7 linked regions of the Canis lupus familiaris genome follow. The protein of the gene in region 1 interacts with the protein of each later gene in a pairwise test. Links are inferred from orthologs where the notes say so. Each region holds a gene or a part of one and is shown in the gene's direction. Other genes may lie near its edges. The genes, in order: UBXN11, EIF4E2, RHOBTB3, USHBP1, PRKAB2, EIF4E and TLE5.

Evidence for each region.
Region 2: the proteins of UBXN11 (region 1) and EIF4E2 interact in binary tests that used the Homo sapiens proteins (3 or more experiments, as listed by UniProt). The two-hybrid records come from large-scale screens. The link is inferred for Canis lupus familiaris from reciprocal best matches to the Homo sapiens genes UBXN11 and EIF4E2.
Region 3: the proteins of UBXN11 (region 1) and RHOBTB3 interact in binary tests that used the Homo sapiens proteins (3 or more experiments, as listed by UniProt). The two-hybrid records come from large-scale screens. The link is inferred for Canis lupus familiaris from reciprocal best matches to the Homo sapiens genes UBXN11 and RHOBTB3.
Region 4: the proteins of UBXN11 (region 1) and USHBP1 interact in binary tests that used the Homo sapiens proteins (3 or more experiments, as listed by UniProt). The two-hybrid records come from large-scale screens. The link is inferred for Canis lupus familiaris from reciprocal best matches to the Homo sapiens genes UBXN11 and USHBP1.
Region 5: the proteins of UBXN11 (region 1) and PRKAB2 interact in binary tests that used the Homo sapiens proteins (3 or more experiments, as listed by UniProt). The link is inferred for Canis lupus familiaris from reciprocal best matches to the Homo sapiens genes UBXN11 and PRKAB2.
Region 6: the proteins of UBXN11 (region 1) and EIF4E interact in binary tests that used the Homo sapiens proteins (3 or more experiments, as listed by UniProt). The link is inferred for Canis lupus familiaris from reciprocal best matches to the Homo sapiens genes UBXN11 and EIF4E.
Region 7: the proteins of UBXN11 (region 1) and TLE5 interact in binary tests that used the Homo sapiens proteins (3 or more experiments, as listed by UniProt). The two-hybrid records come from large-scale screens. The link is inferred for Canis lupus familiaris from reciprocal best matches to the Homo sapiens genes UBXN11 and TLE5.

What each region holds. Positions count from the first base shown.
Region 1 is NC_049223.1:73,114,788-73,118,941, forward strand, and holds part of UBXN11 (UBX domain-containing protein 11), read left to right. Parts: intron 1-2,343; 5' UTR 2,344-2,378; coding exon 2,379-2,449; intron 2,450-3,210; coding exon 3,211-3,239; intron 3,240-3,756; coding exon 3,757-3,948; intron 3,949-4,154. UniProt on the Homo sapiens protein: May be involved in the reorganization of actin cytoskeleton mediated by RND1, RND2 and RND3. Promotes RHOA activation mediated by GNA12 and GNA13.
Region 2 is NC_049246.1:44,368,051-44,372,831, forward strand, and holds the start of EIF4E2 (eukaryotic translation initiation factor 4E type 2), read left to right. Parts: upstream 1-1,570; 5' UTR 1,571-1,603; coding exon 1,604-1,623; intron 1,624-4,781. UniProt on the Homo sapiens protein: Recognizes and binds the 7-methylguanosine-containing mRNA cap during an early step in the initiation. Acts as a repressor of translation initiation.
Region 3 is NC_049224.1:13,913,835-13,918,651, reverse strand, and holds the start of RHOBTB3 (rho-related BTB domain-containing protein 3), read left to right. Parts: upstream 1-1,728; 5' UTR 1,729-1,881; coding exon 1,882-1,883; intron 1,884-2,194; coding exon 2,195-2,420; exon of another isoform or gene 2,421-2,457; intron 2,458-2,670; exon of another isoform or gene 2,671-2,776; intron 2,777-4,817. UniProt on the Homo sapiens protein: Rab9-regulated ATPase required for endosome to Golgi transport. Involved in transport vesicle docking at the Golgi complex, possibly by participating in release M6PRBP1/TIP47 from vesicles to permit their efficient docking and fusion at the Golgi.
Region 4 is NC_049241.1:45,884,159-45,888,351, forward strand, and holds the start of USHBP1 (Usher syndrome type-1C protein-binding protein 1), read left to right. Parts: upstream 1-1,393; 5' UTR 1,394-1,530; intron 1,531-1,811; exon of another isoform or gene 1,812-1,869; 5' UTR 1,870-1,943; coding exon 1,944-1,997; intron 1,998-2,094; coding exon 2,095-2,243; intron 2,244-2,456; coding exon 2,457-2,895; intron 2,896-4,193.
Region 5 is NC_049238.1:58,294,278-58,299,202, reverse strand, and holds the start of PRKAB2 (5'-AMP-activated protein kinase subunit beta-2), read left to right. Parts: upstream 1-1,770; 5' UTR 1,771-1,937; intron 1,938-1,942; exon of another isoform or gene 1,943-2,026; intron 2,027-2,218; 5' UTR 2,219-2,243; coding exon 2,244-2,399; intron 2,400-4,925. UniProt on the Homo sapiens protein: Non-catalytic subunit of AMP-activated protein kinase (AMPK), an energy sensor protein kinase that plays a key role in regulating cellular energy metabolism.
Region 6 is NC_049253.1:18,848,104-18,851,240, forward strand, and holds part of EIF4E (eukaryotic translation initiation factor 4E), read left to right. Parts: intron 1-1,047; coding exon 1,048-1,187; intron 1,188-3,137. UniProt on the Homo sapiens protein: Acts in the cytoplasm to initiate and regulate protein synthesis and is required in the nucleus for export of a subset of mRNAs from the nucleus to the cytoplasm which promotes processes such as RNA capping, processing and splicing.
Region 7 is NC_049241.1:56,593,242-56,596,765, forward strand, and holds the end of TLE5 (TLE family member 5), read left to right. Parts: intron 1-1,357; coding exon 1,358-1,432; intron 1,433-1,519; coding exon 1,520-1,741; 3' UTR 1,742-2,643; downstream 2,644-3,524. UniProt on the Homo sapiens protein: Transcriptional corepressor. Acts as a dominant repressor towards other family members. Inhibits NF-kappa-B-regulated gene expression. May be required for the initiation and maintenance of the differentiated state.

The sequences.
Region 1 (4,154 bases):
GCCTTTGGCCTAGGGCACGATCCTGGAGTCCCGGGATCGAGTCCCGCATCGGGCTCCCGGCATGGAGCCTGCTTCTCCCTCTGTCTATGTCTCTGCCCCCCCGCCCTGTGTGTCTATCATAAATAAATAAATAAATAAATAAATAAATAAATAAATAAATAAATAAATAAATCTTAAAAAAAAAAAAAACTTAAAACTAAAGAACAGACAAAAACAAAAAAAAGAGGAGTTAGCCCAACCAAGGGAAGGGTGAAGATAGGAGTAGGGATGCTATTCCAAGAAGGGGTTCTAGGCTGGGGGAGCCACATGTGCCAAGGCCAGTGCTTTTGAGGCCAGGCTGGCTTGAGTGTAAGAGGGGGAGATGGGGGAGTGAGGTTAGGAGGCATCGGCAGGGACCTGATCATCTATGTTAAGGAATTTTGAATTTCTTTTCTCTGGGTGAGGAGGAGCCATTGGGAGGTTCATGCGAGACACAGAGAGAGAGAGAGAGAGAGGCAGAGACAAGCAGAGGGAGAAGCAGTCTCCCTGTGGGGAGTCCGATGTGGGCATTGATCCCAGGACCCCGAGATCACAACCTGAGCCAAAGGCAGATGCTCAACCACTGAGCCACCCGGGCACCCCAACGTGTTAGCTTTATGTTTATGAAGATCCCTCTGGCCAGATGCTGGAGCAGGGAACCATGAGGGACTATTGCACTTGGTGCCACACAAACCATTAGGATGCCTGGACAAGACAGCAGGGACTAGGGGGAGGCTAGGGGCAGATTGGGAAGGCTGATGGTAGGGATGAGGCAACACTAGACCTGGTGGGGTATGAGACCCAAACTCCGGAATGAAGACTGAGAAGCTGCCTCCAGCCTCCATGCCGGGCAGCTTCAGGGGCGGGGTGGAAACCAGTGCCATACATTTTCAAAGTGAAACTGCCTTGGATTTGTCCTAAAAAGGCTTGATTCAGGCCCTGATGGGGGTCCTCTGGTTCTAGGATTTGTAGATATTTAGCCACATAATGTACTAATTCACTGAATAGTGTTGGCCTTTATTTATTTATTTTTAAAGATTTTATTTATTTATTCATGAGAGAGAGAGAGAGAGAGAGGCAGAGACACAGGCAGAGGGAGAAGCAGGCTCCATGCAGGGAGCCCAACGTGGGACTCGATCCCAGGTCTCCAGGATCACACCCTGGGCTGAAGGCAGTGCTAAACAACTGAGCCACCCGGGCTGCCCTAGTGTTGGCCTTTAATTCCATCACTGATGTGCATTCATCTTTCCAGAAGGAAGAGGAAAGGAAGGGAATGAACATGTTTGAATGTCCTCAGTGTATAGCAACAAAAGCCATAACATTAAAAACTTTTTTAAAAGATTTTATTTTATTTAAAATTTTAAAATTTATTTTTATTTTTTAAAAAATATTTTATTTATTCATTCATGAGAGACACAGAGAGAGAGAGGCAGAGACAGGCAGAGGGAGAAGCAGGCTCCATGCAGGGAGCCTGACGTGGTACTCGATCCAGGGTCTCCAGGATCACGCCCTGGGCTGAAGGCGGCACTAAACTGCTGAGCCACCAGGGCTGCCCAAATTTTTTTTATTTTTAACTAATCTCTACACCCAACATGCGGCTCAAACTCACAGCCCTGAGATCCAGAGTTGCAGGCTCCACCAGCCTGAGCCAGCCAGGCGCCCCCACAGTTTACATTTTTCCGTGCCTCCCCTCAGTGTGGCACTGGGCTCCGTGCCTTATGTGTGTTATCTCTGAATCCTCTTGTTAACCCTACCTGGCTGGTACTGTCACCATATCAAAGGAGACCAAGGCACGGGTTACCTGGTGGACGGCAGAGCCTGGCTCTTGATCTCCCTACCACACAGACTGTGCCTTGGTCGAATCCTGCCCTTGGGTTGCTCCTCTGTGGCTCCGAGAGTCAGAATGACAGCTGAGTTCCTGTAGGAGGGAACAGGACACTTGAGCTTTGTGTCCACAGCTCCTTGAAGGATGGCTAAAAGCCCCAGGCCTTCTGGGTAATCTGGTGACCCGGCTGTAAGTTGGGAAAGTCCCAGGCTTCTGACCCATCTCTGTACCCCATCCCCCTTTCCCAGCCAGTCCAGGGGCCCCCAGGGCCAGAGCAGAAAGCAAGATATCCAGAGGATCCAGCAGACGTCAAGTACACGGATCGTGAGGCCAACCTGCCTCCAGAAACCTCTGCAGGGGCGGTGGGAAGAAGTGAGGGGTGCTGCTCCCTGGACAGTGCTCCCTCCTGGGAAAAGAAATGAGGGAAGAGGAAGTTTCCCTGATCCTGAAGCCCCGGGCTCCCTCTGTCCCCTGGGACTGACTTCCTTCCATCTTCTCAGGGAGTTCCTGACAGCTAGAATCTAGAAGTAGAGCTATGAGCTCACCTTTGGCCTCCCTTGGCAAGACCCGAAGAGTCCCCCTGCAGTCAGAGCCTGTGAATCCAGGGTAAGGAACCAGCCTCAGGGGGTATTTATGTTCATGCCCCTGCCTCCTCTCAGCCCAGTGGACTAGGAGAAGGGCTCCTAGTGTCTCCGGGAAAAGGTGAGGAGTCACATAGCCTTCCCTGACCACCGTATCTTTCTCTTCTAACTTCTTCAGAGAGGCTCTGCGGCGTCTGAGCAAACACTGGGTTGTGCCGTCTAGCAGGGTGTGGGCTGGGTGGGAGCGGCGCGGCACCCGGTTATTCATCGTTCTCGTGTTCATTGGCAAACACCGATTGTAGGGCTCCCCTGGGCCAGCCACGTGCTGGCCCTCAGGAAGAGAACGCTTTACATCTGTCTAGCACTTCATCCTTTTGAAGCATTTTTTTTTTTAACCTCTCTTCTTGCTCTTCTGAACACCACTTTGAGTCATTTGAAGGCCGGGGAGATCTAGAGCAGTCAAGGGACCCACCTGGGGTTTGCACAGTCATTTTAAAACACAGCTGGGGCTGGGCTTCTGGGCTTGGGAGCTCTGTGTCTTCCACCCAAACCTCTGCCCTTCAGCCCTTCCCCGCCCTTCTCTGCTGGGAGGAGGGGACACCTCAAAGCCTGTCCCTTGGCTTGCCCAGTGCCGAGGATGCGATTTGGGAAGGAGATAGCCTCGGGAGGCAGAGGCCCAGCCTCCATCTCCTTTAGGCTTGGCTGGGCACCTAGACTGACCCCCTGGGACATTCCAGAGGGTCCTAACTTGTCTATCTGTCTTTTCCTTCCTGCCTGGGTTCCTAGGAGGCGAGGGATAAAACTCTACGGAGATGGTAAGTGTGGGCTCTGCCCTCGTGTCCCCCTCACTTCCCACCTGCTGGTCTCCCTGGGGTGCAGATGGAGAGAAGGAACAGGATGATCACCCCTGTCAACCAGAGCAGCTGGCCCACCTGCAGCTCCCTCATCCCTCCCCGAGGACAGGGCTTCCTGGCAGCTTTCTGATTAGGAGGCGCACCCCCTTAGAAGAGATGTCATTGCTAGCATTTGAACCCCTCCACTTACTGTGGGGCGGGCCAGTGGGTGCCGAGAAGCCATAGGGGTCAGACCCCAGCCTTCTCCAGCCCATTACCACCTTTTCTCCCAGAAGCCCCATCCTCATTTCTCTGCCCTGCCTCCTGCAGGCTCAGACTTTGGCATCCCAACCCCATTCTTGCTGCCACCGTGTGGCTGGCATTGGCTACTCAAGTCCTCCCGGGAGCCAGGCTGTCAGAATTACAAGAAGCCTGTTCTGGTTGGATCCTTGCTCCCTGACATCCCACATGTTCTATTCACATACACTTGGGAGTACAGCATCCAGGCTGCTTTATCCAGGCCAGAGCCCAGGGTCCCAGCTTCCTCTGGGCCTCAGCCCCAGAGCAGTGACCTGGGCATCCCTGTCTGCAGAAGACGAGGTGGACGTGCTGAATAATGGACATGGCTCAGAAGAAAGGATCTCCATCCCTTCATGCTATGGCGGCGTAGGTGCCCCTGTGAGTAGGCAAGGTGAGAACAGAGGCCTAAAAGGGTCTGGGTCCCTAGCAGCCGGAGAAGGTCTCAGAGAGGGGGCAGCCGAAGGAAGCCCAGAGAGGCACAGACCTACTGTGGCCTGCTGTGAGTGAGCCCACGGTCCCCAGACAGCCCTCCTTGCCTGGCCTGCACCCTCCCCAAAGAGCTGTGGTGATACTCATCTCAGAGGTCCCCAGATGGAG
Region 2 (4,781 bases), on another chromosome or scaffold:
GGGCAGCCATCATGAGAGCCTGTGTCTCTCATGAATAAATATTTTAAAATCTTTTTTAAGATTTTATTTACTTATTCATGAGAGACACAGAGAGAAAGAGAGAGGCAGAGACACAGGCAGGCTCCACGCAGGGAGCCCGGCGTGGGACTCGATCCCAGGTCTCCAGGATCACACCCCAGGCTGCAGGCAGTGCCAAACCGCTGCGCCACTGGGGCTGAATCTAAATATTTAAAATCTTAAAAAAAAAAAAAAAAAAAAGAACACTGGTGGTTAAATAAAGTTTGGAATGCAGAATTCCCAACCCAATTTTAGACACTCCCAAGAAAGATTCGGTGGCCTGGAAAACAGACCCCTCTTCCTTCTCTTCTCAAAGGGCGGCGGAGCATTTGCACTGGTCTCAAAGGATGCTTAAGACAAGGAGGAGCTGGGCAGAGAGGCTGGGAGGTGATGGGCTGGGCTTTCCCTTCCGGCAGGAGATTCTGGATCCACTTAGAAAACAAGATGCCCAGCTGAGGTCTTCCTGGCGGGAGAGGCAAGGCCCGGCTTTGAGAATACAGCTGGGGCCCGAGTTCTGTTGGTGAGGAGAGAACCCGAGCAGGTCATTTGTGCCCTCTGAGCCTCTGTTTCTTCATCTGCAAATATGGGTTCGGATTTCCGCTTCCTACCTATCCACCCCCATCAGAGGATCAAAGGTGCGGGTGACAGTGAATCAAAAATGTGCATAAGGGGCAGTCCCGGTGGCGTGCGCCTGCAGCCCCGGGTGTGATCCTGGAGACCCGGGATCGAGTCCCACGTCGGGCTCCCTGCGTGGAGCCTGCTTCTCCCTCTGCCTGTGTCTCTGCCCCCCTCTCTCTGAACAAATAAATAAGTCTTTAAAAAAAATGTGCCTAAGACCTGACAATGGGACATCGTGGGGGCGGGGGGGCTGGTAATAACCGCCTTCCCCAAGCACAGGGGTGCTGGCTTGGGGGCTCCACCAGCAGCAGGTTCGCGTCCTTAACTCCCGTGCGCGCCGCCCCTGTGTCCCCGGAGCAGAGGCTTCGGATCCGGGAGGCGCTCGCTCCGAGCCTGGCGGGCCCATCTGGGGTTCCGGTGAGCTTCGCACTAACTGTGTCACCTGGCGTCGGTCTCTCCACATCTCCGACCGCCTCGGGGGGCGCGATGAGCTCCTTCGCTCCCCCGCACAGGTCAGCAAGACGGAAGACTCCGCGCGGGCGGCTGCGTCCGGCGCCGGACACCGGCGGTCCGGTTCTAGCCACACGGCGACCCGAAGGGGCGTGGCCGGGACCCAGGAGGAAACAGCCTCGGGCAGGTGAGGAGCGAGTCCAGGACGGTGCAGCCGCCCCCCGGGGGGTGGGGGTGTGGAGTCGGGGCGCCCCCTCGGACGTGCGGCGGGGACCCAGGCAGCCTCCGCGCAGCCGCCGCGCAGCCGCCCGGGGCCGGCGTCCCGGGATACCCGCCCCGCACCGGACTAGCGCGCAGACGTTCCGCTGCGCCGCGCGCAGCCGGAAGTGGCCGGGCCCTAAACTGGGGGGCGGGGGGGGGGAAACCCGGCGGAGCGGAAGTCACTCCGTGAGGCAGTGGCGACGGCGGCGGTGAGAGGATGAACAACAAGTTCGACGCGTGAGTGGCGCGTGGCCGCCCCGCGGGGCCCCTTCCCCCAGCCGTTCCCCCCGCGCCCGCCTCCACGGGGGCTGGCAGCGGCGAAACTCCCCGGCGCCGTCCTGCGGCCTGGGCTTGGGCTGCGGGCCTTCGCGGCCCGGGCGGCCGGCGGGGGAGAAGGGGGGCTGGGGGGGGAGGCGTCATGCAGGGGTGCGGAGCGGGGTACGGCCCCAGGGCGACGCGCGGGGTCCCGGGAGGGGTGGCCGCGCCGCCCGGAAGGAGATTTTTGGACGCCCCGCCCCGGTGGGTGCGGGTTGCCGGCGGCGCGGAGGGGCGGGGACGGCGGCGACGGCGGCGGTTTTGGGGTGTTGGCGCAGCCCGGCCGCCCTGCCTCCGGACCCGGCGGGGGCTCCACGCACACGCTCTCCCGCCCGGGCAGCTCGCCTCGCCCCTCTGAGTCCGGGTTCTCCTCTGCAGAGTGGGGACGGTGACAGCCCGGGCCGGAGAGTGGTGAGGATGCAGTGAGGTAATGTGGCCGTTGGCGCCTGCAGGCGGCTCAGTTACGGAATGCTCCCGGCCTTCGCGAGGCTCCTTCCTGCTTCCTTTCTCCTCCCCCTTCCCCCCCACCCTCCCCGCTCCAGCACGCTCCGCAGGAGCTGCCCCTGTTCTGGTCCCCCGAGCACCCCCCTGTCATTGCCCCCGTTTCCACCTCCCCAGTTCCAGCAGCATCGTTTGGGGGCGCAAAAAAAAAAAAAAAAAAAAAGGAAATGCAGAATTATTTCTTTGCACGTTTCCCTCTAGCGATTGTGTCTTGAGGCAGGTTATGTGCTTCTAGTAAGCATAGTTGATCTCTAGGGACCTAGATTCCCAGGTCCAGACCCACCAGTTTACCGCTTCTATGCCCGTGGAAGAGTCACCCACCCATTGTTAACGTAAAGCACGTTAGCGGTTGGGGCCCTGCTGCTGCCCTGGTGTGTGAGGATCAAATCGCGTTCAGCAAGTGCTTAAAGGGACTTTGTAAATTGCTAATAGGGAGGAATGTAAAGTGGCATCACTGTTTAGGTTGTGACCTGCTGCTGATGGGAAATTGTTTTTTTTTTGGAGTTTTTTTGTGTGCCCCCCCCCCCCCCGCCCCCCAGTACAATGAGTGCTGGTTTGCACTTTCGGGAGTCCTGGATTTCAGCGCTCTAGGCAGCTCCTCTGGAATGTGTTCCTGGTTGCTGAGAAGTCTCTGGGACTTGGAAAAAGTCTTTGGCTCAACGTTCCCCCAGCCTGCTGCTTAGCTGAGCCCATCTCAATAGGAACAGCCACACTTCCCACCACCCCCCCCCCCGCCATTTGCACCCCTTATATCTTAAATCTTTGCAACACCAAATTCCAGATCTAAGTCCTCCCTCAGTAGAGCTTTCTGTAAATGCTATACCTCTTCCTCCACTGAATTGAACAGATCAACATTGCATCTTAGGAAGGCACTTTATGGGTCAGCTAAGCCGAGTCTTGCCCATATCATTTGGGGATCTGCGGTAAGCTAATTTAAGAATGATAGTAACAGGGGATCCCTGGGTGGCGCAGCGGTTTGGCGCCTGCCTTTGGCCCAGGGCGCGATCCTGGAGACCCGGGATCGAATCCCACGTCGGGCTCCTGGTGCATGGAGCCTGCTTCTCCCTCTGCCTGTGTCTCTGCCTCTCTTTCTCTCTGTGTGACTATCATAAATAAATAAAAAATTAAAAAAAAAAAAGAATGATAGTAACAGGTTTCATAGGAATCTTGGTAGATACTTTTCATATGTTATTTCTACTGCTAACAATTCTGCTAAGGGGATCATGTTACCTCCTTTTATAGATAGGAAAATGAGGCCCTCTGAGGTTAAGTAACTTGCACACGAAAACAGGAAGGTGCACGTAGCAGGATTCAAACCCCGGTTTGTTTAACCTTGGTTCAAGTAACTCTTGACAAAAATTAACCTGGGTCATTTTTAATTCGTTATAATTATTAACTATGCCTTATAATGACCCAGAATTTTTTAACATCTCCTAGGTATGCAGTTAAAAAAACAACAACAAAGCTCTCATTTATTTGAAATTAGCAATTAGAGACCACACTCCTGCCCCTAGTTTTTATTTTTCATGTAACAAGTTTGTAGGGTTTTTTTTTTTAAGTTTGTTTATTTAAATAATCTCTACACTCAGCATGGGACTCGAACCCACAACCCTGAGAACAAGAGTTCCTCTGACTGAGCCAGCCAGGTTCCCCAAAAGTCTGCAGTTTTTAGACGTTTTAGTTGTTTGGCTTCTGTACTCTTTACCACGTGGTTCCTAAGGACTGGTTCCAGTTTGCCAGTATCCTAAAAGTCCAGTGCCTAGAGCTGGGTACTGTAGTCTAATCTGATCAGCCCAGTTTAAAGAAGAGCTCTAACCTCCTGCATGGGCTCGATTTCTGAGAGTGTAATCTAGGATTATAATTGCACCCCACCCCCTACATCTATCCAGTCAGTTAGCTACCACTGTCATTGACCCTGTTGATGTGTGAAACCTTAGGATGATTTCACTATTCTGCAGTCCCAGACTGTGATTACCTTAGTTTTCAGATCTAGATGCCATACTTGATTTTGTTACTGTTCTCTCTTTGCTAGTTTTTGGCCCTTTCTTACAATATTGGCCGAACCACCTGTTGGCTCCCATCCTATTCTGCCTTGTATTGCTTTGATTTTAGAAGTGCATTCATTAAACATGTTTGTTGTCTGCCTCGGTCTCATGCTGGGCATGTAAAGATGAATTAATCTAAGTTCCTATCCACAAGGAATTGGTCTACTTAGAGAGCAGTGTGAGGATAAACCTGGGCAGAGGTTTGGTGAGTTGACTTGGAGCCACTCAGTCTGGATAGCCTTAGAGATGCTAATTGCCCTCCTGAGTCTGGAGCACTGATTTTTAGTCCTGATTGTATCTTGGCTCAAATCCAGCTTCAAGCTGGAAGAGTAGCCTCTGGAAGACAGGATGCAAGTGATTTGCTTTAAGTATAGGCTTAGAGGGCAGGGTTAGCTCCACCCTCAAGAAATAACACATTAGAATTTCCTTTTATCATCTCTGAAGGGAGTCAGGAAGTGTGGTCCAGGAACCACAGTAGCACTCTCTTCTCAGATATAATTATTTTTGCTATTTTTCTGTTTCCTAATCATGAAT
Region 3 (4,817 bases), on another chromosome or scaffold:
TTTTTCAGTCCAAATATTTCTTTTTTTTTTAAAGGTCCAAATATTCATTGTAGGTACATACCACATTTTCTTTATCCATTCATCCATTCTGGTGTCTTTGTTTTTGACCTATGGTTACTTGAGGGGACTGACAAGAAAATATATTTTCTGTTGACCCAAGAGAAAAGGTGATCCTATACTCTTAAATATTTCAGGATGGCTTATATTGTAGAGACTAAAAGAGAAATTATACTTAGAGCGAGGAAAATTAGATTTAAAAAAAAATCAGTGACTACAGAAAGAATGCCTCTTGCTGTACGCTATGAGCATGAGAAACTGTATTATACTGCTTCCAACTGAGCAACTAGGGCCCATCATAAAAAGCTGTTCACATTCCAAAGGCCTCTTACCCTAGTCTTTTCACTGCCCTAGTCAGTACCTCAATACTTCTTCAGTACCTCATATCCTCAAAATAGCTCTTTTGAGAAAAGAAATTTTAAAGTAGGCCAAAAATAAATAAGGAAAGGGATAAAAAACTCAACACAGAGCACTTGTGAGAATTTTCATGTTTATGGAGAAGCTGAGTCCCACAATAACCTCTGGCCCTTCTTCTCGGTATTAGTGAATTCCAGTGTTCATTTGCATTAAGTTAGTTTGGCCCTTTAGCGACATTCATAACCTTTACTTCAGTGCGTTATCATGAAAGAATCTAAAGTATCCTTGCATTAAGCATGATCGTTATTTTTTCAGTTGGTCTAAGGATCTATTAATTAAATATGTAGCTTTAACGTGTACTGAAAACCTCCAAGTAAGCTAGCATTCATCTTGTAAACAAGTTAAACACCCCACACATAACTTCTTTTTAAAACCATCGCAGTAAGAACCCCAGCACTTAAAAAAAAAAAAAAGAAAAAAAAGGAAAAAAGAAAAAAACCTAACCCTGCAGTTTTGGTAAAATATGCCAAATATAGCCTGAAATAGTAAATAATCCCTCAAAAGCGATGTTAGCAAATTAATTGGTGTGTGAACAAAGACCCCTTTCTACACTAGCATGAATGTTGCCTTTATTTTTTTTTTCTCACAAGTATGATTTTAGAAAACAGCTGTAGTGCATGTTGACAAATGACAAAGCGGCAGACGTGGTAAAACATTTTCCGTCAAGGCCAAGGGGGGTGGGGGGGAATGGGGCTGCCGGAGCGGCCAACGGGCTTGAACGCCTAGCTTCCCTAACCTCTTCCCCCAGGCTTTAGGGAGCGGGGGCCTCAGCGCCCCACCCCCTTCCCCCGGCTCCGGTTACAGCCTCTCGAGTTGAGCAAACTTGCTGCAGGCGGATCGGCGATCAGGAGATCTCCGGCTTGGGCGCTGCATTTATTAATTTATATTGCGCGGGGCCCTGCGCGGGCTGCTCCTTTGTACCCGGCGCCGCCGCCTGGGCCGGGGAGGGGGGAGCGCGCCCGACCCCCGAGGCCAGCACGTGCTGCGCCCGCCCGCCAGGCCCGCCGAGGGGGCGGAGGCCCCGGCTTCTCTCCGGAGCCGCTCTCCGCCAGGAGGAGGGGCGGCGGCGGCGGCGGCTGGAGGCGACAGCTGCCCGGCCCAGGGAGCGCGGCGGGACCGGCGGCCGCGGCGCCCGGCCACGGGGCGGCGGGAGGCGGGAGGCGGGAGCGGCGGGCCGCGCGGGATGGCCCCGGGCCCTTCCTGACTGGCTGGCCGCGCGCACACGGCCCGGCCCGCACGTCCCCGCCCGCGGGGGCCCGCTCTGCGTCGGCCGCGCCGCGGTGGAGGCGCGCGAGGGGGACGCGGCCGGGGATGAGCTGACTGCGGGGAAACAGCCGCCGCCGGGCCCCGAGAGGCCGCCGGAGCCGCTCGCCTCCGAGTCGCCGCCCTGCCCTTGCATCCGAGATCATGTACGTACGCGCCGCGGTCCTGCCATTGTCTGCGCCCCGGCGCGCGCCGTGCGCCCCGGCCCGAGGGGCTCCCGCTGCTCCCCGCCGCGCGCCTGCTGCCCCCCGCTCGAGGGGCCCCCGCTGCTTCCCGCCACGCTCCTGCTGCCCCCCCCCGGCCCGAGGGGCCCCCGCTGCTCCCCGCCGCGCGCCTGCTGCCCACCCCCCCCCCCACGCCCGGCGGGTCCCGCTCGGACCGCGCTCCTGCTCCCCACCCCGCCCGCCTGCCCCGCTCGGACTGCGCCTGCTGCCCTCGCCCCCTCTCTGCGGTGCAGGTCCATCCACATCGTGGCGCTGGGGAACGAGGGGGACGCGTTTCACCAGGACAGCCGGCCGTCGGGGCTCATCCGCACTTACCTGGGGAGAAGCCCGCTGGTCTCGGGGGATGAGAGCAGCTTGTTGCTGAGCGCGACCAGCACGGTGGCGCGGCCGGTGTTCACCGAGTATCAGGCCAGCGCGTTCGGGAATGTCAAGCTGGTGGTCCACGACTGTCCCGTCTGGGTAAGCGGCGGCAGCTGCTCCGTGCCCAGACGGCGGGGCTCTGCTTCCCGCCCCCCCCCCCCCCCCCACCTCCTCCTCCTCTCTCCTCTCCTCTTTCATGGATGTGGACCGGCTGGGTCACCTGGGTAGAGTTTTTAGACATTTGGGGGCAAATCTTTGTCTTCCTTTGTTTCCCCAGGCAGGGGGCAGCCCTGGGGGAGAACAGTCGTGGAAGGTGAAAAAAGCCCCAGTGGCAACATGGAGCACTTACTCGTATGCTTCGCCGCCGTAGGCTGTCCCTTGGTAGCTGGCAGTTGACTGTGACAACCCCCAGGGACAGGGTCACTAAGCTTCACCAGCAGAGAGCAATGTTTTTTCATGCCTACCCCGTGGGTGATAGTGTAATATTAGTGTTCTAAAAATAAAGTCCTCTGTAAGCTTAACTCAAGCAAAAATAAATTTCACTGGGACAGTTCAGGACTAGGACCCCTGGAAAGGAGAGGAAGACACAGGAGCTGAGAATGGATTTTAAACCACTCCTTTATAAAGCTATCCCCCTTTGGACATTTTAATTAGCGTTTTTAATTTTAATAATGCGGATACTCCTGAGATATTAGCTTATTTGTTTTCAGTGACTCATAAATCAGAAATAAGAACGCTGGTTGGAATTTTCAGAAAGCTTTAAAATTTGCAATAATTAAAAGAAGTATAAAATTCTAGTCTGATTCTTAAGTGCTTCATAAAAGGAGAAAATATATTCTGAAGTTGATAAAATTCTACTCTGATTCTTGAGTGCTTCATAAAAGGAGAAAGGACTCTTTGACACAAATATTTTCAGTAGGCAGTATAATAATACACAGTAACTATTTAAATGTTTTCACTAAATCTTATTTGAAAATTTCTGATTCTTTACTGCTTTTGGAGTTATAACTAAAGCTGAAGATTGTATTTTTTTTGAAGGTTGTATTTTATAACAGAAGAAAGCTTAGTGTCTGAAAAAGAGTGTAAATTATCTTTATGTGAGATTTTACATTTTTTTAAAAAGACTTTGTTATTTATTCATGAGAGAAACACAGAGAGAGGCAGAGACACAGGCAGAGGGAGAAGCAGGCTTCATGCAGGGAGCCTGATGTGGGATTTGATCCCAGGTCTCCAGGATCAGGCCCTGGGCCGAAAGCAGGCGCTAAACTGCTGAGCCACCCAAGGATCCCCAAGATTTTACATTTAAACAGCAATTTTAAAAAGCTGAATTATGTGCTATAGGGAACTAATACACGTTTCTAAAGGAATGTGTGGAATGTAAGTAGAAAAATTACTTATGCAAATTACAGGAAGAAAAGATCTCTACCTCAAATGATCAGTTAAAGGATATTTCTGTTAATGAGCTGAAATAAATGAAAAACAGGTTTGTTTGTTTGTTTTCAATAAGTGGGATGGCATTAAACTCCCTTTTATGACAGTGATGATGCCAATCTTAAGAAGCATCGGTAAAGAACTTACTGGCTGGATTCCATGCGAGCAAATGAAATACCTCTTTTATTTTGGCCATTTCATTGTGAAAAATCATACAGTCTAAAAACTTACTGGGTTTACATGCAGTTGAACAAATGATGTGAATGAGTGAATAGAGTAAATAAGTAAATTGGAACAAATGAGTGAATAAAGTAAATAAATGTAGAGAAAATAAACTGAATTAGGATGTTAGGATTACCTTTCCTGTTTTTTTTCTTTGAGCTGTTAACTCTTTCCTGTTTATGTTGTTAATTTAGCAAAAAACAGTACTTGTAATCCCATGTATTGTAGTAAATGAAATCTTCCAAATGTATTAAAATAAGCCTCTGTAGTCTAGATTTTTGCCTTATACTCAGCGTTGTTTTTTATCTTGCTTATCAACTTTTATGTGTTTAGACTCTGGTCCTGTTTAAGGCATTAAGTTTTGGTACATGTTTTTGGGTTATAAAGATCTTCAAGCATTAGGGAACATACTTATAGAGCTTCTCTTTGTAAGGTGCTTCTCTTTTCTTAGTGGTAAGTAAAAGTCCATCAGAGATATTCAAGTTGACTGTATTTATCAGCTGATACTTGATGTGTACTGAAACAGTATATTCAGTATAGCAAAACAGCACAGGTTTGGATATTTCAGATCCCTACATTGCTACTTAGTGGCTTTCCTTGGTGAGTCAACTATCTTCACCTAGCCCTATTTTTCCTATGTATAAGATGAAAAGACTCCCTGCCTCCTAGAGCAATGCTGAAGAGTAGATGAGATAAATGAGATAGTATATGTAAAGTTTTTAGGCTAGAAACCGACATGTAGTAGGTATTCAGTAGTGGTAGCTCCTATAAAAACAACAATGTGTTTATTACAATGTTAGTATAGTCATGTATCGCTTATACTAAGCAAAAATAAAGTTTCCT
Region 4 (4,193 bases), on another chromosome or scaffold:
AGAAAGAAGGAATCGCCTTGGCAAAGGTCCTGAGACTTGCAAGAGCCTTGGAGCGATGGAACCTTTAAGAGGTTAATATGGCTGGAGCAGGGGCGCCTGGGTGGCTCAGTGGTTGAGCATCTGCCTTCAGCTCAGGTGGTGGTCCCAGGATGCTGGGATCAAGTTTCACATCAGGCTCTCCGCGGGGAGCCTACTTCTCCCTCCGCCTTGTTTCTGCCTCTGTGTCTCTCATGAATAAATAAATAAAATCTTTTTTTAAAAAAATGGCTGGAGCAGAGGCTAAGAGTGTAGATTTCAATGTGCCTGGGTGCCCCCAAGTCAGAGAATTGCAACTTATTTCCTTACCAGTTTTGGGGACGCAGAAGCAGGAAGACTCAGCCTCCTCTGTCTGTCAGCGGAATGAGGAAGATTCAGGCTACTCCAGGCTCTGCGCAGTTTAAACCAAGTGTAGGGGCACCTGGGAGGTTCAGTGGTTGAGCGGCTGCCTTCAGCTCAGGTCCTGATCCCGAGGGATCCTGGGATTGAGTCCTGCTTCGGGCTCCCGGCAGGGAGCCTGCTTCTCCCTCTGCCTATGTCTCTGCCTCTCTCTGTGTCTCTCATGAATAAATAAAATCTTTAAAAAATAATAAATAAAAAATAAGCCAAGTGCAGAAACAAGGAAAGGGTTACAGCATAACCAAAGGCCCTGGGATGTGAGAATTGTGAACCTTCACCTGTTCACAGAGGGGTCATCATGGCTAAAGCATGGAGTATACATGGGTGCAGACAGCAGGCATTATTTTTAAGGGCCTCGAATGCCGGGTAGAAGAGCTTGAAATGTTTCCCAAGGGCAATGGGGAGTCATGGAGGGTGTGTGAGCAGAAGAGGTGAACAATGAGGTCTCTGTCTCTGGGGCCTGGGAGGGGAAGGGAGTCAAGGGGTGGGTGGCTGTAGAGTCCACGGAGAGAGAGGGGCTGGCATCCCGGTAGAGGGGAGAGGGTTGGGCTGTTATGGAGGGAGATGACGAGGCCCTTTAGAGATGGATGCAGGAAAAATGGGCAGGATGTAGGGGCGATCTGTGCCCTGAGGAATCCAGGAGAAGCAGCAGCTGGCAGAGGAAGCAGAGATGGGAGGGCCGGAGAGGCAGCGAACAAGAGTGGTGTGTTACAATTCAGTTCTTGGATGGTGCTCAGTCATGTGCAAGTTGCTTGTTAAAATTCCCATGACACTGTAGACAGATCCTATAATTAAAGCCCCCCCCCCCCATTTTACAGATAAGGAAACTGAGGCTCAGAGGCGGAAGAGACATGAGATTGGAGGCTGGGGCAAGGAAGGACCGACAGGTCAGGAGCTGGACATGTGTGTCCCACCGGGACTGGAGGAAGCTGATGTCCTTGAGGAGGAAATAGCACAATAACAAGTCACATGACCAGGGGAGGGGGCTTCCTGTTTCCCGGCCTCTCCCAAGCCAGCCTTGGCCAGCCCGGGGCCTAAGCAAGCAGTGGCCAGAGCTACCCCAAGAGTGTCCAGGGATTTGGGCTGCTGACCAAGGTATTCCTAGAGGTACAGAGGAGTAGCATTAGAGCAGGCTGAGGGGACCCAACCCCAAGATTGGGGCCTCCGACTCAAGAGGACCCTGGGGAGGAGAGGTGATTCTTGAAGTCCTCGAGCCAGGTCCAGATTGGGGACCGAGGGGAGCACAGAGGTAGTGAAAGATAAAGGAGGCAAAAGACAAGGGGAGGTGGGAACAAACTTGTGAGGTAGTGAGCTGCCTGTCAGGAGGGGTATTCAAATGTGCCAGCTCAACACTGGTAATTCAAGATCCCTCCCAGCGGGAGGAGATCGATGCTCATTTCATAGAAGAAGGTATTAAGGCTGTCATTCGCCCAGACCAACAAAGACAAGAGCCGAGATCAGGCTGCGGCTTTCGGAAAAAGAATCAGAGGACTGAATTCTGGACAGCAATGAGTGCCCGGGCCACGCGACCCCGAAGCCGGCGAGGGAGGCACGCGCCACCTGTAAGTGCCCCCTTCCCTGCCGCATCCAGCTCTTTGGGGTCACTCACCCCCTCGCCCCCGGCCTGGCTCGGAGCTTGGCCCTGTGGGTCATTTTCAGGGGGAGCTGGATCCCGTGGCGGAGAGTTCAGAGGAGGCTGAGGCAGCCAGCGGGAGCTCTGAGCTGGGCCCTGTGCCATCTCAGGAGAGCTGCGAGCCGAGGCTGCAGGGGCCAGAGGCAGAGGCCAGTGGGCAGGGCCTTGGGAACAGGTAAGGTCCCCTCCGTCTGGGCTCCCACTCCGGCCCTGGTGTGTCTTTCCTCCCCACAGATCTACCTGTGTTCCTCCCTTGCTCACACACACGCCGTAGCTTCCCACTGCCCTCCTTGCCCAACTTTCAAGGCCCCGGATAATGCACCCTCTGTGAGCCAGCCACCCCAGATGACCCCATTTCCAGAACCTTCTGTCTCTCACTTCACCACAGGACCAACAAAGAGGCTGAGGGGGACTCTAGCAGAGGACTGGCCCCATCTCCCGAGGGACCCCGCAAGCCTGCAGAGGAAGGCCACCAGGCCAGAGATGTAGCTCCACAGGATGGGGAGACTGTCCCCCCCAGGCCTGAAGCCTCTGACGTGTTTCAGGTTCTCCAGCATGCTCTGAGCTCCCTGGAGGCGGCGGCGGCTGCCTGGCGCCGCCGGCCCCCCAGCTGTCCTGGGCCCGGGGAGGCAGAGGACAGAAGTGAGGTGGGACCAAGGCCCTGCTTGGAGCAGGAGGGGGCAAGTGGTTGCCAGAGGGAGGCAGCCAGCCTGGCAGAGAGGAATGACTGGCTACGATTGGCCTTGGGCAGCCGAGAGGAGGAGCTGATTCGCACGCAGGCCTCCCTGCAGGCCATCCAGGGGGAGAAGGAGATGCTGCAGAGAGAGGTGAGGGTCTCGACGTATTGTGCTCTACCTCTGAGGGTTCTCTGTCTAAGGGGGAGGCGGGCCTGGCATAGGCAACCTTCCATTGTTTGTTCATTAGAAAAACTCTTACGGAGGGACGCCTGGGTGGCTCAGTGGTTGACTTGAGTTGAGCCTTTGACTCAGGTCATGATCCCAGGGTCCTGAGATCGAGTCCCACATCAGGTTCCCCACAGGGAGCCTGCCTCTCTCTCTGTGTCTCCTCTGAATAAATAAATAAAATCTAAAAAAAGAAAGAGAAAAACTTTTATGGAGCGTTGACTGCTGCAGAGCCCTGAACAAAGGTGCCTTGCCTTCTTAGATAAGGTGGTCAGAGATGCCCCTTGAGGAGGTGACACTTGAGCCAGGAGGTAAGGGAGGAGCCATGCAAGGATCTGGGGAAAGAGCATGCCAGGCGGAGAAGGAGCTCCCTTCCAGAGGTGGGAGTGTGAGTCAGGGAACAGTGAGCAAGCCAGTGTGGGGGTGAGGGGAGGGCAGGTTAGTGATGGGGGCAGATTTACACGGTCTGTGGGCTTCTGGGAGTTGGGCTTTGGCCCTGAGCCTGGTGGGCTCCTGGGGGGTTCCCCCTCGCCCCCCCACCCTCGCCCTCCCGCGGCAGAAAGGGGCGGGACCTGGTGCCGCGGTCACAGGCGCCCTCTGGTAGGCATGGGAGGAACAGCCGGCGGATCCGCGAGGCACTGGTCCAGACACCAGATGGTGGAAACTGTGGAGGTGGCACAAAGTGGGCAGATTCTGGGTGGTGTCGAAGGTGGAGCTGGCAGGTTTGGGTGTGAAAGCCAGAGAAGGGTTGAGGACAAGTCCTGGTTTGGGGGCCTGCGGGACTGGGAGCCAGAAATGCAGGACCAGGAGCTGTTGGGACCCTAATGAGTTCAAGAAACCCCTGAGCCACCCATGTAGGACCATCAAAGACACAGTTGTGGGGTCAGAATCCAGAGCTCAGGGGAGATGTCAGGACAAGAGAAACACATCCCGACCTCTTTAACATGTGGATGGAATCTAAAGCCATGTGGCTGAAGGAGATGGGGGAACAGGCCCTCATCTTGGGCAGGCCAAGGTGGCAAGATATGGGGCCACCAGAGCCCAGCCTAAGGGGTGGGGCCCACTTCCTGGCTGGGAAAGATGATCCCCGCTCCACATTCCTCTCCTCACCCCCACCCACATTCCTCTCCTCACCCCCACTGCCTCTGGCACCCACCACTCTGTTCTCTATAACTGTGAGTTCAATTTTTCGTTTTGTTTTATCTTAGATCCCAAATATAAGT
Region 5 (4,925 bases), on another chromosome or scaffold:
ATAAGTTTTCCACTCGCCAATATAATATCTGGTTTGCTTCTGCTATGCTGATTTGACTACTGTAAGGACCTATTTATTATTTGGCATAGAGAAGCTACCCTGTGGTTAGAAACCTGAATAATACACAAGATTCAATGTATTACTCCCTTCAGAGGCCTTGCTGCAGAGTGCAGTGGAAAGAATGAACGGAAGTGGTAGAGAGGGGAACAGTAGGGACCAAAAAGGAGGTAACCAGGCAGTGGAGATTTTGGAGGGAGGAGCAAAAGGTCACAGTAAAAATGTTATCCGCAACATTCTTTTTTCTGCAAACTGTCTTTGGTTAAGAACCAGAGAATCTGGGATCCCTGGGTGGCACAGTGGTTTCGTGCCTGTCTTTGGCCCAGGGCGCGATCCTGGAGACCCGGGATCGAATCCCACGTCGGGCTCCCGGTGCATGGAGCCTGCTTCTCCCTCTGCCTGTGTCTCTGCCTCTCTCTCTCTGTGTCTCTATGAATAAATAAATAAAAATCTTAAAAAAAAAAAAAAAAGAACCAGAGAATCTCTGAGTTTACTAGGGCAGAGGAAAGACAAAAGGCAGAGAAGCGAATTTGTCAAACCTAAGTGTATGGTTTTTTTTTTTTATGAAAAATAAGCTTTTCAACAAAATAAAGCTGTTCATTCAAAAAGGGTGGCCTTGTACGACGTGGCATTCCCCCATCGCTGTTTGTTTAAGTGGTATTATCTTGTTAGAAATGTAGTAAACGGTATTATACCCTTCACTGTGCAAATATTTATTAAAAGCTTACTCCGGACAAGATGCATGCAGAACAGGAAGAGGAATCAAAACTAGACTTGCTCTCTGCCAGCCTTCAAAGCAGTGCTTGACACTTTAATATGTATACACATTCCCCTGAGGATCTTGTTAAAATGCAGATTCTGATCCTGTAGGATAGAGCCTCAGATTCTACACTTCTAGCCAGCTCCCAGGTGATGGCAAAGCTGCTGGTCTGTGTCACACACATTGAGTGATAACGGTTTCCGCTAGGGAATCGGAAAAGCACATAATTATAACACAAAGAATGAATTAGTAAATACCATACACGTTCCATTAATCATCAGCAAAAACCTAGATCCGTTCCAACCCGAGGACAATCTCTGTCCTTTTCTGCTCTCACTGTTCCTTCTCTTCTTGTTGGTCTTCCTCAAATGGCATTTCTTTTGGGGTTGCTCGTTGCATTCGCGGTTTCTTAGCTCAGAATAGCTTTCTCCTCCTCTTCAGACCAGTTTCACGCATCTGTCAAGGTTTCTCGCCTAATTACTCCTTCCTCACTGGGGCCCCAGTCGAGGCTGCTCCCCACCGCAGCCAGCTGGAAGGTACCTCAAGCAGTCGCCACTACTTCCTTCTGATTCCAGGAGGAAATTCTGTTTCTAAATCCCTGGAGGAACCCACCTGTCCGGGTTGCCCAGAGAACGTTCTGTTTAACCTGAAGCCCGGTGAGGCGGGCGGCAAGGAGGCAGCGCCGCTTCTCCGGGTACGGAGCGCCTGAGGCCGGGAGGCGGCCCTGCGGTCCCTGGAGCCCGTCTGCTCCGGAAGGCCGGCCCGCGGCTGACCGCGCCAGGGTTTCTGGGTCGGGTGGGCGGAGCCCGCGCCCCGCCCCGCCCCGCCCAGCCCGAGGCCAACGCGGAGCGGGCGCCCCCGCCTGGCGCGAGAGGCTGCCCACCACCGAGGCGGCGGCGGCGGCGGCTAGAGAGGCCGCGAGCTCGGGAGCCGTCGCCGCGCGGCCGTAGGGAACGCGCGCGGGGCGGGCCTGGCGCCCCTGGCCTCGTAGCCATTTTAGGAGGAAACCCGGATCTCCAGCCCGGGGCGCGGCTTCAATTTCAATAACTTTATTGGTGGACGTAACCGCAGAACAGCCATCTCGCGAGTGGCTAGGGGAGGAGGAAGAGCATCGCGGGAGGTGACTGGGGTGGGGGCTCCCCCGGGCAGTGAACGCGGGGATGCGGGGAGTTCCCCGAAGCGGGTTTCCCCAGCGGCGGGCGTCGAGAGGCGGGTGGCGGGTGGCGGGTGGGGGGTGGGGGGCCGCGGGCGCTGCCGGAGGCCGAGGAAGGAGGGGACCCCGGGCACGGCTTCCCTGGGGCGGGGATTCCCTGGCCCGGGTCCCCAGGCGCAGGGGCGGAGCGGGGGGCGTCCCTGACGCGGCCGCCGGGTGTTAAAGCCCCGCGTGGTTCGCCCCGGCAGGTGGCCCCCGACTCGAGCTACAGCCATGGGAAACACCACCAGCGACCGGGTGGCTGGCGAGCGCCACGGCGCCAAGGCTTCTCGCGCCGAGGGCGCCGGCGGCCACGCGCCGGGCAAGGAGCACAAGATCATGGTGGGGAGTACGGACGACCCCAGCGTCTTCAGCCTGCCGGACCCCAAGGTGAGTCTCCCCGCGCGCGCCCCGGCGGCCCAGCCCCCCTCCCCTTCCGGGCTCCTCCTCATCCCACCGACCTACGTTACGGTTTTCTGAATTAAAGGGATGGGGCTGGGGAGGGGGGGGGGGGGGGGGGGACGGAGATGTTGGAGGGTAACTGACGCCTGCGGCGCTGCCTCGAAATACTATAGAGGCGGGGTTTCTGTCGTTCGCCTGACCTGCTGGCCATATTTTTACGATGGGGACTGTAGAGTCGTCCCCCCCCCCCCCCCACAACGCCACACACACACACACACCCATCCCCGGTTTTCCGAACAGGCAGGAGCCCTCTTGGAGAGTAGTGATGAGTTTATGGGTTGTAAACCCTATAGACCCTGGTAGAAAACTTCAAAGACGGTAGGTTGCCTGAGTGGCTGATCATCTGAGACAGTTTCTCAGGTTTACCCTGAGGTAGGCAAACGAATTTCTTTTTTTCTGATAACCTGTAGGTATCAGTATCATTTTTGCTCCTCTAAGAACCCAGCACTTCGGATCCTCTTCCCCTTTGGCAGGATTGTGAGCAGCAGCCACTTGCCTATTTGATACTTTCTCCTCGTCTTGGAGATCAGTACAGGACTTCCTTTGGCTGACTGCTCAGTTGTTCATCTCATCCTTTATATTGCGGTTGGCTGAGGTGCTTCCTTCTTCACACCCAGCTACTGGTCAACTGGGAGAGCAAACGATCCAGGATTTCTCCTCTTCCAGTAGGAATTCGTGATGTTACCATCGCTGAAAACGGACAACCCGCAGCTGCCGGGCAGGCAGACCTTGCTCTCAAATCCAAGGACTTCCAGAAAAGCGGCAACTTGTGCCCACCCGTAGATTAGATGGAGTTGACTGCAATGGGATTACCATCCGAATATTTCTAGTCCCATTTAGAGCTGTCAGCATGAAATAACAATAATCCCTCCAGGCAGTCCGAGTGGGAGGAAGTAGAAAAAATGGAGGGATTGAGGAGATTCAGGTGTGTTTGATGTTTTTTTTTTTTTTATCACTTCAAACCTTTCACCAAATTGGGGTTTTAGGGAGTAAAGAAATGATTTGCCCCATTGGTAGCACATGAAATTTGGATTCTGTTTATTTTCTTGAATCCCAGTTGAAAACATAACTACAGAAAAAGAAGTGAAGGTGGTTAAAAGCACCATCTTGGGGTTTCGTCTCCATTCCTTTCTTCCTTCTCCCACTTTAGAACTTCTTTCTCAGCATTTGGGCCATCTAGCCAGTCATTTTGAATTTCCTTAGAAGCTTTCTCAAGGTGATCCACCTCCTAATTTTACCCTTTTCCTATGTCAATGACTCAGGATTTAAGTACAGTGTATTTGTCAAACTCTGACTGCAATAATTGGTGTGCTGAATAAAAGCCAGGTTGCTCCATCTGAAATGGAGCCTATTTTGGTTCCTTCCTTCCCTAACCCCAGTCTTGCCATTTGTGAGTAAGAAAATTGGTTCAGATAATTCCTAAGGTCTCTTATACATGTAAAATTTTATAGTTCTCAATCTAGTCTCTTTACTTCTTCCTTCATTGTTTTACTTAAATATTTTCAAACTGTAGTTCTCATTGTTTTGCCTCTTTTCATAATGATTTTGCTGACAATTTAACTTGGAGTAAATGGTCTTTCTGCTAGTCAGCTGCACTCAGGCCTGCCACGGAAATGTCATGTCATATGTGGAAGGGCTTTCTTCCAAAGCCGGGCATGTTAATAGTTTGTAGCTTTCAAATTCGAAATTGAAAATACTAAATCATCAAAGTGACTCATAGAAACAGTGGCAGTGGGGTCAACATTGCTTCAAATGCCAGTCCTCTTCAGTGGACTAGGTCAGTGGTTCTCAACCCTGTTTGCACATTAGAATCACCTAAAATTTGTTTAAACACTGTATGGAAAATTAGAGACATTTTCCATGTTTCAAAGTAGTTAGAGTAGTATAGTAAACTCCTATATACCCATCACCCAGTTTAAACAATGATTAAATTTGAACAAATTTATGTCATGCCTATGCCAGTCCACTTCCCCCTACCAAATATTTTGAAACAAATTCCAGACATCCTATCAAATATTATTTTATCTGTAAATATTTTAGGATGTATCTGTAAAGTTGAGGTTTTTTCCTTTGTTTAACATAATCACAGTAATAATATTCTCTGTGAAGCTTTTTAAAAACAGGTTCCTAGGTCCCATATGTAAACCAGAATCTGAGTTATTCTTAGGCATATGTAAAAATTTTTGTAATTCTAATGCAGCCAGTCAGACAAAGGTGCATTCCTTTAGGAATATGGAGATCAAGGTTTTCACTTAAGTCACTTCCTTACATAAGGTGAGAAAGTCCCTTCAATTCTCTGTTTACTTCAGTTTATGCTGTTACTGGTGTCTCATTAGTATAGTTTTGAGGAATATTGAGAGACAATATGGAAAGTAGACTACCTTAGCCATTTTGAAAGTAAAGCCCATGTGAATAAGTTAATCCTTTTTTTTAACCCACATTATTTTATTTGGT
Region 6 (3,137 bases), on another chromosome or scaffold:
AAGTTTCTCCTGGTCATTTCATTAACTTCAAAATTGCAGAACTTCACATTTGTAAGTTTTTACAACCTTCTTCAGAGTATTACTGTGTATAAATTTTTTAGGTCAGTGAAGCAAACAATGAAAGCATAGCTTGATATTATTTACCTTATGTATTGTACTATAATCTAAAACTTCCAGCTTTTTAAGACATATATTAAATATGAGATAATTGGCATTTTCTATAGTGAGAAGTTAAAAGCTCTAAGCTATTAGGAGTAGGAATAATAGTCTCTTGGATTCGTAGCACTCATCACAGTGTCTCATTTATAGTTAGCACTTAATGAGTTAAGCAGTTACTGAATATTTGCATGAATTTCTTTTTTGAATGAAGAAACTTAATTTTGCTTTTGGAGATTATCAGTAAATAAATACCATTTAGAATTCCACTTTAAAAATTAGTCATTTCAGTTTTGTAAGATGACAAAAGTTCAGGAGATGGATGATTGTTATAGCTATACAATGTTGTCAGTATACTTAATGCCATTGAACCATACCCTTAAAAATGGTTAAGTGATTTAATGTCATATTTTGTCTATCCTCAAATAAAAAACGTTATTTAAACGATTAAAATGGTAAATTTTATATATATTTGCCACAATAAAAAAAAAAACCTGTGTTCATGAAAAACGGCAAGATCATGAGGCAGTTAATTTAACCTTGCACAACTATTCAGTCCTTCCATTATTTGTTTGCTGGCAAGTAGAAGCAGAAGAGCAATTGAATATTAACATAATTTACCTTTCATATGTGCCCTCACATCAATTGCCCCATTTGCTAAAAAAAGTTAAAATCATCTGTTAATGTTTTTGATATTAAACAAAGAAATGAATCTTTAAAAAGTCAGGACAAAGAACAATATACATAAATATAATTTAGACATTGAAAAAGTCAACTTTTGGTTTAAAAACTGTTTTCAGTTTTGTATATATACAAATATAAGAAACATTTGTAGTTTAATAAGCAGTGAATAATTTGTTTCATGTAATTTGGGATTGAATTTTTTTAAAGCTGCTGTGCCTTATTGGAGAATCTTTTGATGACTACAGTGATGATGTATGTGGAGCTGTTGTTAATGTTAGAGCTAAAGGTGATAAGATAGCAATATGGACTACTGAATGTGAAAACAGAGAGGCTGTTACACATATAGGGTAAGTTTTGCTATTTTTATACTTCCTTTAAAATATTAAGATAACTAAAAGCAAAGTACTGTTACAACTTTAAAAACACTTGGATTTGTAGATCATTATTTTCCTTGTATTGTTTTCATGAAAACTTATAATCTTGAACCTGCTCTATTGGTTTTCATTGTCTTGTCCATATTTTTTTTTAATTTCATTTTCCTCGCAATGGAGTATGTAATCAATGACCAAAGTATTCTATATTGGCATGTAGCATTTTATTTATCCTATGAGAATATTAAGTCTTTTTTCTACTTTAAAATCGTAACATTAGTATTACAATACTCATAGGAATAGTAATTCAGGGAGTATTGGCAAATAGTATATATTCTGTATACGTGTGTGTAAAAATTTCAGTGACTGACATTTAAATGATAGTATTTTAGTTCTGTCCATATTTTAAATGTCTGTTCTGTGCACATGTGTGTAAAATTTTCAGGGACATTTAAGTGATAGTATTTTAGTTGTGTCCATATTTTAAAAACCTACATGTGTAAGTTTTTAAATTTGGGGCATGGTGAATAATTGCCTGGAATTTCCCTATCCCCCAAGCATTGATCAGTATTAACTGGGATCCTCTTTTTATTACTTTTAAATTAGTAATATTTGACTTTTAATTTTGTGTTAAAATTAAGTATTGGTCATAGGTCACAAAATATTTGGTTTGCCCTTCGTGATTGTTTTCAAACAATATGAATTCTCCTATGAACATAATTCCTTTCTAGATTAAAAGATAATGGAGATTTTCCAGGTTTTTTCTAAAAGAGAAGTTGAGGGCAGCCTGGATGGCTCAGCAGTTTAGTGCTGCCTTCAGCCCAGGGCCTGATCCTGGAGACCCGGGATTAAGTCCCACATCAGGCTCCCTGCATGGAGCCTGCTTCTCCCTCTGCCTGTGTCTCTGCCTCTCTCTCTCTCTCTCTTTCATGAATAAATAAATAAAATCTAAAAAAAAAAAAAAAAAAGTTGATTTGTCATCATATTCTTAACCTTTCAGCATCAAAACTTAATAGTTTTGATTATTAAAAAAACAATTTAAAAAATAAGTATGAAGTTCTTTCCTCTGAAAATATAGTATTTGTGTCAGTATTTAAAATTATTGAAATCTTTGTGAAATATTTGACTTCAGTTTTTTAATGGAGGTTATTTTGTTTTGTTTTGTTTTTGTTTTGTTTTGTTTTTGTTTTTTTTTTGACCCAAGTTACATGGCTGAGTGCTCTGGCTTTCTGGCATTTTTATGATTAAGTGTAATGGAAGGGAATACTTTGTATCCTCATATAAATCTGATAATGGTTATTTTAGTTAGAAAGTTATTTTTAGAAACTTTATTTGTAGGAAGGTAGTAGAATCTTCTGGAAGGTATGAGTATGAATAAAACTATCCTAGTATCATATTGGAGAATTTAGCTCCAATATGTATAAATGTATGTCTTTTATTTTATTTGGGTGCTTATTTTTGAAGGTTTGCTGTCTTTTCTTTAGAATAAGTGTCCAAATCCCTAACTTTACCTGTGATGCTCTCTGTGATCTAGCCTCAGTTTTATTTAACCTTTTTAACTCATAGTCCCTTTCTTTATGAGCTGTAGCCACACAGCCTTATTTAGTTCCCCAGCCTTCAGATGTGCTTCATTCTCTCAGCATTTTACTTTTAACCTCATGACTTTTAAAGGGGAGATTTCTCTAATTTCACAGACAAGATTAGATCATCCTTGTTATACAATATCACAGCCCCTGTACTTACCCACGTTGGCACTCGTCATAGTTTGTTCTTAAAATAGTCACATGTTATTTGAAAATTAGGTTGCAGAGTTAGTATAGAAGGCAGAAATGATGTATGTTTTAAATTACTCTGGAAATATCATAAAGTAATAAGTGTGGTAAATGTGATTTGCAGTAATATATTTATTATGGTTTATATATAAAA
Region 7 (3,524 bases), on another chromosome or scaffold:
CGCCTCCCCTCTCTGGACCTCCCAGACACAGAAGATCCGCAGATCGGAGGAACCCCAGGGGCACAGGGCAGTACAGGGAGGGGCCTCACCCTGCTGTGGAATTCCCAGCCTGAGTGAGTCATTTCGTGGGTGAAGACGTCAGATATGCCAAAGGCTGCACCAAGGATCTTTTTTTTCCCTTTCTTGCTTCTGCCTTTTTCCCTTCTGAGATCTGTGTGCCAGGCCCCTGGGGGCCGCCTCAGGCCAGAAACCAGGGGCCGCATGTTCGGGGAGGGCACTTGCACACACACGTGCACACAGAGGCAGGCGTGCACGGGCTCAACACAGATAGATGAGGCTCGCACGCGCACCTGCAGACACAGGTCTGCACGCACATGAACGCAGGGACGCGTGGACACGCACCCCGGGGAACCACGCACTGAGCTCTTGCTTTGGCTTTTTGTTTTTTGTTTTTTAAGATTTTATTTATTTATTCCTGAGAGACACAGGCAGAGAGAAAAGCAGGCTCCCTGCGGGGAGCCCAATGTGGGACTCGACCCTGGGACCCCAGGGTCACCACCTGAGCCAATGGCAGATGCTCAACCATTGAGCCAACCAGGCATCCCGGCTTTTTGGGGTTTTAAGACCGTTGGTGTGAGGCCCATTCCATCACCGGAGCCATTCCTGCCCTCTGCCAGGCTTCCTGTCCATAATTTATCATTTCCTCTTGGATTCCTGACCATGTCTTGGGGCCCTTTGGGTAACCTGCTTGCCCAGAGACAATTCCAGAAGGATACTATGAAAACCCTAGAGAAGGGGGTTCTTGGGGCTCTGATAGACCTAGACTTGTGCTTTCCTTTCATGACAGGAACTTCTTGGTAGGCAAGGCAAAAAGGGAAACTGGCAGGAGAAACAGACTTTCAGGGAGTGCTCGGGTGTGGGAGGGATTGCCCTGAACCCAGAATCCACTGGGCCTTCCCCAGTTGTGCAAGGAGAGGATCTTGGATTAGCAGATCTCAGAGGCACAGGCTGCAGGCTCTTAGGATCAGGTCTTCTCTGTATGGTTGGCCAGGTTGTGCACTGTTCATTGACTCCTTTGCACATGGCATTGAATAGGTCATGGTCCGGGGTTTCTCTCAGACTCCCCTAATGGCATTTTCTTCAGTATCTGGCACCAATCCCCTTGGGTCTTCTTGAATCTGTCATTTGTCCCCATTTTCCAGAGGAAGAGACTGGGGCTTGGTGAACAGAAGCGGCTGGAGGGAGGGGTTTTTCGGGGGCAGGGAGGGTGGCTCCTCTTGGGCTCTGTGCCCCAAACCTGCACAGAGATCGGGGCACAGCACCTGGCTCCTCTGTCTCTACCCCATCCCCCTTCCAGCACCAGCAGCAGGTCTTGGGAGCCATCGAGAGGGCTAAGCAGGTCACCGCTCCCGAGCTGAACTCCATCATCCGAGTACGTCTGGGCTTTGGGTGGCCTTGGGTGGGCCTTGGGTGGGCAGGGGCCCCAGGCAGCTAATGCTTCCCTCCGTCTGCCCTGCAGCAGCAGCTCCAAGCCCATCAGCTGTCCCAGCTGCAGGCCCTGGCCCTGCCCCTGACCCCACTGCCCGTGGGGCTGCAGCCACCCTCGCTGCCCGCCGTCAGTGCCGGCACCGGCCTCCTCTCGCTGTCTGCGCTGGGCTCCCAGGCCCATCTCTCCAAGGAAGACAAGAACGGGCACGACGGTGACACCCACCAGGAGGATGACGGCGAGAAGTCGGATTAGCGGGTGGCGGGGTGGGGAGGGTGGGGGGGCGAGGGGACACAGACATGGAGAGAGGAACATTTAGCGCAAGACACAGTGTAGCTCGGGATTGGCTGAACTCGGTAGTATTTATGGTAGCCGCCTGCTGGGGTCCTAGCCCTGCCTGTGTGCCACCCCTAGCTTCTCACACCCCCGGCTCCAGCCTCCCTCCTCCTCCTCCCTCTCCCCTCCTCCCCGCCCCCCCTGCAGCCGGAGTGGGCCAATACCTGCCCATTCCACCCGGGAGGTAAGCTGAGGCCTGGAGGCGCACAGGGGAGGCCAGGCCCGAAGACAGCAGAGCCTCCAGAAGCCCAGCACCCCCGCACCTCCCCGCCCGCGCCCGCCGGGCCCCTCAGGGCGCGCCCCCAGCCTCCCACCCTGGCACTGCATGCAAACACCACGCTAGCTGCCCCTTCCCGCCCTGGGCACCCCGCGTCCCTCCCCCCTCACTCCCCTCCTCCTCCGCAAGGCTAGTTCCAGAGCCCACGCCCACCGCTCCTCTCCCCTGCAGGAGAGGGGGCGGAGAGAGGGAGCCTAGCCAGGCGCAGGGGTGGGGGCGGGCGGGCGTCCCAGAATTCCCTTTCTCCCCTTCCCCAATAAAGATGAGGGTACTCAAGTTGTCTTGGTTTTTATTTTATTTTTTTCCTTTTTCCAGTACACTAGCTTGTCTTTTAAGAAAAGGGATATTTAAAAAAAAAAAAGAAAAAAAGGACAGAAAAATGTTTTAAAAAAACAAGCAACACCCACACCTGTGTCTGTATATAGCCTTTTAGACTTGTCAGCTTTTGTTGTGTAGAGTCGTTTGATCGCTGCGGAGAGAAGGGAGACTGCTGTACCGAGGGTGGGCTTAGCTGTGCCTTTCAAATAAAGATGTGAGAAGGTTGGTTGCCTTGTTCCTGCCTCTGTGTTGTGGGCTGCCGCGGTGCCCCCCTTCCCAGGGGAGGAGGGGGCTTCCCTCGTGTCTGAGCTCCCTCCTCCTGACGGGCCGGATCCGGAGAGTCCCCGTGGGGGTGGGGGGTCCGGCCTGTCCCTGTAGTCTGTCTCCCGAACTGATGCCCAGACCGGAGGGGCAGCTGGAGGCTCTGGGTCACACAGCCCGGCCCAGGGGCCTGAAGCGGAGCTGACCCGGCTTCCCATCCCCAGGCCAGAGGGCTCCTCGGTGCCATTCTTTTCCCTTAGACACCAGACTTTGAGCCCGCAGGACCCACGCCCACTGCATCCCCACTCTGCCCATTTGGCCAGATCAGAGAACACACAGCGCCCCCCCCCCAGCTGAACCAGACCCTCCGAGGACCTGTCCAAGGCGTCCCTGCCACGCCCCAGCTGGACCACCCAGGGGAACCCCAAGGAAGGCTATCAAGAGGCCTCCGGCTGCCCCCCCAGGGAACGGGGCAAGGCTGAGGATGAGGCAGGGCGGGCAGTGTAGATTGCAGACCCTAAGGGACCCGGGCACCCAAGGGACTTCTGGACTCCGAGAAACTCCCACCTGCCCCAATCCAGTGGGTTCCCAGGTTGGACCAAGGGCACAGGGAGGGGGGTTGGGGTGGACTGCTTACCTCTGGGGAAGTGGCTCAGGTCCCCGAGGAAAGAGAGGCCGAGGGGGGGCGCGTGACCCGATGGTCCCACCAGCCGCCTGCTGTGCCCCAGCAGTCCACCACCGCAGCCGGAGCCCCTCCAGAAATGCCAGCGTGCTGGGGTCCCTCCCTGCCTACCAGTCATCCTTGTGCCAAAAGCCCAAACTCGCCCAGGACCCTGGGAGAGCGTA